Linked DNA regions of Macaca fascicularis. The protein of the gene in region 2 purifies or fractionates together with the protein of the main gene of each other region. This does not show direct contact. Links are inferred from orthologs where the notes say so. Each region holds a gene or a part of one and is shown on either strand. Other genes may lie near its edges. The genes, in order: ARHGEF26 and CASK.

Region 1 (3,822 bases), on a different chromosome or scaffold from region 2:
GCCTCAGGGAAACCACTTAATTGCCAGTTAAAAGCTCAGAAAACCGCAGGTTTGGAGTGAGGACCACCTCTGTGTCTTGCAGCAATTAAAAACAAAGAAACAACCAACAAGGACAACATCAAGAACAAACTAAAATTTCGTAAGACAGAAAATTCTCTACCCACTAGATTTTTCTACTTAAACACCCTCGCCCTAAAAGTAATGCTCTTAAACATTTCTCCTCAGGGAAATAGACTATCAGAAGGCATTCCTAAATACAATTCAAAAGATCAATTAATTTCAGTCAATGTAGACTAATTAAAACTAGGTTAGACTATTAAAACTGTAGCATTCAACATTGCTTACAACAATTTTTGTAGTGTTCGTTGTTGGTAGACTTCATTTGTGCAGTATTTCACATATGGGTCAAATGTGGATGCTGTGTGTTTTTCCACGATGTCACTTATATCATCTATGAAGATATTATTCTGATGTCTTGCTTCCAACTCTATAAAGAACCTGAAAAACCAAAGGGAAAAAAGTTTACACATCTTTCATACACTCTAACAGATAACAGGTTATCCTCATGTAATGTTATTACATGGGGTTTGAAAATTCAACAGTACACAGCACCAACTAAAAAATATTTTTAAAAACTACAAAAATTTTATCTAAGTTTAAATCTATCATATCAACACCTCCTTGAGGATGGGCATTGTGGCTCATGCCTATAATCTCAGCACTTTTGGAGGCTGAGGCAGGAAGATCACTTGAGGCCAGGAGTTCAAGACAAGACAAAACCAAAAAAAAAACCTTCTTATTGCTTCAAGTGTTTGGCTTCAAACACCGATAATCCGAGGCATTGCTCTGCCTTCAGGTACTTTAGGCTAAACGTATTTCACTATTTTTCAAGAATTCTTTATGGGAAGGGGAATGAATGCTTATATATTTTATTTATTGAAAAGTACATGAACAAAACACCTAAATAAATGCTTAAAAAATAAGTCTGAGGCCAGGCATGGTGGCCCACACCTGTAATCCCAGCACTTTCGGAGGCCGAGGCGGGTAGATCACGAGTTGGAGCGATCGAGACCATCCTGGCCAACATGGTGAAATGCCGTCTCCACTAAAAATACAAAAATTAGCCAGGTGTGGTGGCACGTGGCTGTAGTCCCAGCTACTCGGGAGGCTGAAGCAAGAGAATCGCTTGAACCCAGGAGGTGGAGGTTGCAGTGAGCCAAGATCGCGCTACTGCACTCCAGCCTGGCGACAGACTCCGTCTCAATAAAAATTAAAAAACAAAAAACAAAACAACAGTCTGAAATAAATCTAACACTATATGTTAGTCAAAATAAAAATAATCATATTATTTTAAACCTGATAATATACACGGTATTTAAATCCCTCCCTTCCTCCCTCCAATCCCTTCCTTTCTCCCTTCCTCCCTTCATCTCTCTTTCCTTTCTTCCTTTCTTCCTTCCTTCCTTCCTTCCTTCCTTCCTTCCTTCCTTCCTTCCTTCCTCTCTCCCTCCCTCCCTCTCTCTCTCTCTTTCTTGCTTTCCTTTCTTTCTTTTCTTTCTTTCTTTCTTCTGAGAAAGGGCCTCACTCTGTCACCGAGGCTGGAGTGCACTGGCATTATCTCTCACCTCACTGCAATCTTTGCTTTCCAGGATCAAGTGATTCTCCTGCCTCAGCCTCCTGAGTAGTTGGGATTACAGGCATGTGCCACCATGCCTGGCTAATTTTTGTATTTTTTAGTAGAGATGGGGTTTCACCATATTGACCGGGCTGGTCTCAAACTCCTGACCTCAACTGATCTACCCACCTTGGCCTCCCAAAGTGTTGGGATTACAGGTGGGAGCCACCACACCCGGCCAGTGTTACCAGATTTAGTGTATAAATAGATAGCAATTTAGGGTCACCTAAATATATACATACAAACAAATGTATGTATCTATAATATACATATATATGGTATATATAATTATATATGTCATATAGATAGCCATTGTTTATCCATTCATCTGCTGATGGGGACTTGGGTAGTTTCTAGTTTTTGGCTACCTGGAATAATGCTGCTATGAACATTTGCATACGAATATCTATTTGTGTGTCTGTTTTCAAGTCTCTGGGGTATATATCTATCGGTGGAATTTTAACCACACTGTGCAGTAGTATGTGTATGGGTGTGGGGGTGTGGGTATCTGTGTGTGTGTGTGTGTTTGAGAGTGTGTAGAGAAATGATAGCATAATACCTGAACCAAAACAGAAGAAGCTGAATTATATACCAAGGAGAGGTTAGTTCACTAAACAAAATTGAGTAAGAAATGATCCTTTCCCTCCCAACACTCGCAGTGGAGTGGTTGATGGGAGGCATGCAGCCAATTACAATAGAGGATCTATAACACGGGTGTGGCATAATAAAATAATAAGTATTTGGTCTTCATCCCTGGTTCTTGGAACACAGCTCCCAAAATACCTGGAATCTCCAGAGTGATAGCAGTGACTTTCGTATGCCAGCGAGATGACTGGTAGCTGGGGGCCCTTAGATAGCTTCGGCATGGCTCTCTGCATGCCAGAAAGACCAAGCAAGGATTGCAGGGTTGGAACTTTTAGCCATGCCTGCCTACCTCCAGTCATAAGAGTTTGAGTTCAATTGTCAAGGAACGATGATTTAATCAATTATGGCTACGTAATAGAGCCTCCATCATAACCCTTAACTGATGGGGTTAGGGAGGGACGATGAACACCTTGAGGTGCTGGGAGGGTAGCAGGCCCTGAGAGGGACTAGGTGGTCTGCAGTACCTACACCCCCTCCAGCCTTGCCCTGTAACAATCTTTGTATTTGGCTGTTCTTGAGTTGTACCCTATATAATAAACCAGAAATTGTAGAGTACCTTCCTGAGTTCTGTGAATCATTTTAGCAAAGCATCAGGGCCTGAAAGAGTGGTGGATTGTGGAAATCCCCCTGCAACTCCGTAGCCAAGTAGGAGAGAAGTGTGGGTAACCTGGGGACCCAATGTTTGCATCTGCCATCTTAAATGAGGGCAGTTTTGTGGGCTGAAACCTTAAACCTGTGGAGTCTGATGCAAACTCAGGGTGGTTAATGTCGGAACTGAAACTGTAGGACTGGAAATGTAGGACACACAATTGGAGTCTCGAGGGTTAGAGAATTGGTTGATATAAGAAAAAAAATCACACATTTGGTGTCAGAAGTATGGTGAGTAAAAATAAAGAGGCCTACAAAGAAAACTCCAGAGGGCAGAGTAACCACCCTCGCGGTAAGCACAGGTGAGGACACCTGTAAGCTGGATCATCACTGCCAAGGATGACATGACGGGAGCAGGGGAGAAGCACAATGGGCAGACGAAGCAACGTGGGTCTGGTTGGGGAAACTGGGAAGTTCAGTGGAGCTGAGGTATAGACTCTAGGAGGAACAAGGGCATAGAAAGAAGACTGCAGAGCAGGCTTGAGCTCAATTGCAAAGGTTAGACTGCGTGCTGGAAAGTTTGGGATTAATCTGCAGACTATAAGAAACCAGTGGAAGCCAATAAATCACTCAATCCGAGAAAACTGGAGCAGAGCAAGGATGGATTACTAGCAGGGAGGGACAGATGGCAAGCAGGCTGGTTAGGTGGCTAATCTGGGCAAGTCGACAATACAGCCTAGTAGTGGAAAATCAAGAGAGGACACAGCGTGGGGTAACAATCTGGAGATAAAATTAATAGACTCAAGAAATTCGTTAGATGGGAAGTCAAGGAAGATGCTGAGATTTCTGGTCAAGGTTTCCACCTGGGCAATAAAGTGGGTTCTTAAACTATTAATGAAGACAGAGATTCAGGA
Region 2 (3,822 bases):
TTGCCTGTTTTCCTGCCCTTTTACTAATTTTCCATAGCTGCCAAAATGGTGCAGAAAATTGCCTGTAAGTACCAGCTAGGAGGTAGTGAAATACAGCCTTGTTTCTTCTAATAGATTTAGAATGTAGACACTTTGTTCCCACAAATCCTTGCTTTTGCTGTTAGAATAAAGGCATTTTGTTTTCACTGAGTTAAACCCTGCTCACGTGTGAGTCAAGCACACAGACAAGCTGTTGTCGAGGAAGAGACTGACAAATATAGCTTCATCTTAAAAGATTCTTAAGAGGGAGCTTTATTTTTCTGTAAAGAGACCTACATTAAAAATGTGATACTTTCAGCCATACATTTTCTGGAATATTTTCATCAGCCCAGCTTGCTGAGCAAGTCATAAACTCTGCTAGTGGTTTCTGAAGCTCAGGACTACATATTCAAATAGAATCCCGTGTGCCAGACAGTGATGTTGTAGGAATTGTTCCTTTTCATCCTGGTAGGAAGCACTCCTATCTTTGGGTGAATGCACGTTTGCTAAAATGGCGGGTTTTTTGTTTTTTTGTTTGTTTGTTTGTTTTTTGCATTGTGTTGGTTATTAAGTAAAGCCACAGTGAAAATACTATGCTTTTTAAGTGCAAGCAGAACTAGAAGGTGATGATTAACTGGGGTCTTAGCTACACTGTAGTACTTAACACTCTCAGTCAAAGCATGCCCTGTCCTGCTTTGAAATGCCTGTGAAAGAGGACAAAACAGGTAGGACATTCTTGGTTCAGAGCGCCCTGAGAGAAAAGATTGAGTTCCCATCTGCTGTGGTGTCTGTGCATGCCCACTGCAGGGCCAGGACAGAATCAAGCAAGTCTCTTTATCTTACTTCTAGTCCCCTTTCTTGAGAGCTGTACCCAGAGAGCTGAGGCTTGCCTGGACCTCCCAGCAGCCTCACCAGGAAGGGTCTCTTGCCAATAACAGAGGGGCCTTAGAGAAGAGGAGGGGAGGGGCCCTAAGCCAGTACTGGGCACTACGGCTCCTAGGTCCTTGAAGATAGTGCATCTTTTATTTTCTCTGGAGATCTTTTTCTGTCACCTGGGGGGCCCCCATTTCTGGGAAGAATTGCTCAGTCTCTTGATTTTAGATTTAATACTTGTAAAACCCTATAATGACTGGCACTAGTCAGACAAGTGCTTGTTCTTTTGACAGCATTTATTAAGCACTTACTATGTGTAAGGCACTATGCCTAATGCTGGGGCACAGCAATTACAGGGCACACAAGACAAGTTTATAGCTGGAGACAGAGCCACTCATCAAATAAAGAGGTATTTCATTATCTCTATGTATATTTGAGACTCAGCCCAAGAGCTCACCCACCTAGTGTTTGGCAGGTAGGGGGTGGTTAATTTGACTCACAAAGTTCCCTAGTGTCAAGGTTGAACTTGCCCTTTGGGAGTTCAGCATGACAAATTTGACTCATGAAGATATAGAGGCAGACTTCTTTCTGGTGGCTCTTAAGAGACCCCTATCTTGAAAGAACTGCCACTCTGTAGCGGAAGCTACACTTGCGTGACAAAGCTGGGACCTAAACTCCCTCCTGCTGTTGGATCCCTCTTGCGAGAGTTCTTAAAATCTGTGGCAAGCTGCAGCTTAGGGAACATCCTTTGTTGCAGCAAACCTCTCTAGAGTTCAGCAGCTTCTCTTCCTTTGGTTTTTTTCATAAGAGATACGAGGACCTGTGAACAGTGACATTTGTCCAGCCATTTCTAATGCAGACCACTTTGGGGGGATTCATCAGATGCCAGGTGCTGTTTGTTGGGGAAACAGCCTTATTCCGGCCATTATTTGTAACACTCAAAGAGCTTTTGCCTCTGGCATCAGCTGCTATTGAGTGAGGGCCATTATATGTCATTGAATTCCTGGAACGGTGGCACCTTTAAGTACAAGAGGAAAAAATACAACTTAATTTGTCATCCAAGGGCAGGGACTTGCTGGTGCAAACCCAGCTGGGCCCTGAGGCCTGGCTCCAGTGAGTGTGGAGGACCAAGGGGAGGGGGGCAAAGAGCTCGGGCCTTGCCACAATCTCCCTCTCCCAATTGGGAGAGTGGCTTGAGGCTAGGGCGGGGGGCTTCCTGTGGGCCTGTTTGGGCCACCATAGCCACTCTAACCCACACCTGGCATGGCCCTGCCAAGCCTGACTCTGGGGACAGGCATAGCTAGGCCTGAGTGGGGGTGGCATGTTTCCTGAAGAGTGTCTGTTTTCTCTGGTTCGTCTGCTTTGTCATGGACCCTCTGTTGCATGTTGAGCAATCACTGTCTCCTCTGTCATGGAGCGGACTTGGCCTCATGCTGGAATACGGCATGTCAGGGTCTGGCCTTGACTGTTTCTGACACTGGGATGAACAAAAATGTGAAAAGAAAATGAATCCAACTGATTTCTCTCTTCTGTTTGCTTTTCCTCCTCTCATGCCCACCCCTACCTCCATCTCATCACCATTTAGGATGAATCTCTTCAGCGTCTGCAGAAGGAGTCTGACATCTTACAGAGAACATATGCACACTACTTCGATCTCACAATTATCAACAATGAAATTGATGAGACAATCAGACATCTGGAGGAAGCTGTTGAGCTCGTGTGCACAGCCCCACAGTGGGTCCCTGTCTCCTGGGTCTATTAGGCCTTTCCCCAGATAGCTGAGCATAACTGGGAGCACCTCATACGTGGAAAAGCCTCTTTGTTATCGGCCTTGTGTCATCAGGTCATGGTCCCTAGAGACTACCTAGTTGTAGTGTGACCTACATTTATAATTATTGTCATGTCCGAATAGATAGGAGGAGAAAAACAATTACACACTAATTTAAAGAGACAGTATCTTTTTTAATCAGTTCTCCTAAACTTTAATAAAATGTATCTTTAAATGTATGTATTATTCAATCCTTTGGAATGTTATATTTTTGGAAATCATAGCTTTTTATTTCCAAGGCCCCTAAAAACTGCACAAAATAGATGCTGCTTTCTATAATCTATTTTAATAATAATAAACAATGATTCTGTTACCTTGACTGGGGGTGGAACACTACATTCTTTTTAGAGTCTGATTTTATGGATTGGAATATCTTTCTTTCCTTTATTTATTTGAAATAATTAGTGTAGTGATTACAAAACAGTCATAAATTTTTAAAGGCCTTTTTTCTCTTTTTTTTTTTTTTTTTAGAATAGTATTTTTTTTTTAAGTCCTTTATGTAACATCCAGATAATGTGATACTGTCTCTTTGAAGCACCCTGTAAACCTTTTAGAGATTTGAAGTTGGGTCTTGACTCTTAATGCATGTGGACAGTCGCGAGCGTTTATGCTGTCGGTGTGTCTGTGTTGGACAAAACAATCTGTAATCTACAGCAAAGTACATTCTACATTCCGTTCATGGGGCACACCCAGGGGAATAAGAATAAAATGCTATTATGACTAAGTTGTAAACCTATGCACATCCCTTGCATTTTGGGCAACTTTATAAAAAAAAATGAAACTGATTTTTATTAATAATAATCATGTAGTGAAATGTGTTTGTAATTTTGTCTCAATTTAATTTGTTGTAAGGTGGGGGGGAATTGCTGGTTTCACCATTTCAGATCTGTGTTGTCTAAGAGTATTAACGTTTTAATTAAGCAAAGAAATGAGGATTTTTAATCTGTATGTAATTGTTTTAAAGCACCCATTTTAAGAGAAAATACTGTGCAATGAAGAAACCAGTTTAGGCATTTGCTATAAACTGAAATATTCCAAAAGAATAATCTATAACAGCCCTGTAAATTCCTTTAAAATGATAACAGGACAGTTTGACCAATTTT

Evidence for each region.
Region 1: the proteins of CASK (region 2) and ARHGEF26 purify together in Homo sapiens (affinity purification with mass spectrometry; 3 studies listed by BioGRID and IntAct, with this or other methods). This does not show direct contact. The link is inferred for Macaca fascicularis from reciprocal best matches to the Homo sapiens genes CASK and ARHGEF26.

What each region holds. Positions count from the first base shown.
Region 1 is NC_088376.1:57,144,993-57,148,814, reverse strand, and holds part of ARHGEF26 (rho guanine nucleotide exchange factor 26), read right to left. Parts: intron 499-3,822; coding exon 346-498; intron 1-345. UniProt on the Homo sapiens protein: Activates RhoG GTPase by promoting the exchange of GDP by GTP. Required for the formation of membrane ruffles during macropinocytosis. Required for the formation of cup-like structures during trans-endothelial migration of leukocytes.
Region 2 is NC_088395.1:41,535,062-41,538,883, reverse strand, and holds part of CASK (peripheral plasma membrane protein CASK), read left to right. Parts: intron 1-2,476; coding exon 2,477-2,653; 3' UTR 2,654-3,822. UniProt on the Homo sapiens protein: Multidomain scaffolding Mg(2+)-independent protein kinase that catalyzes the phosphotransfer from ATP to proteins such as NRXN1, and plays a role in synaptic transmembrane protein anchoring and ion channel trafficking.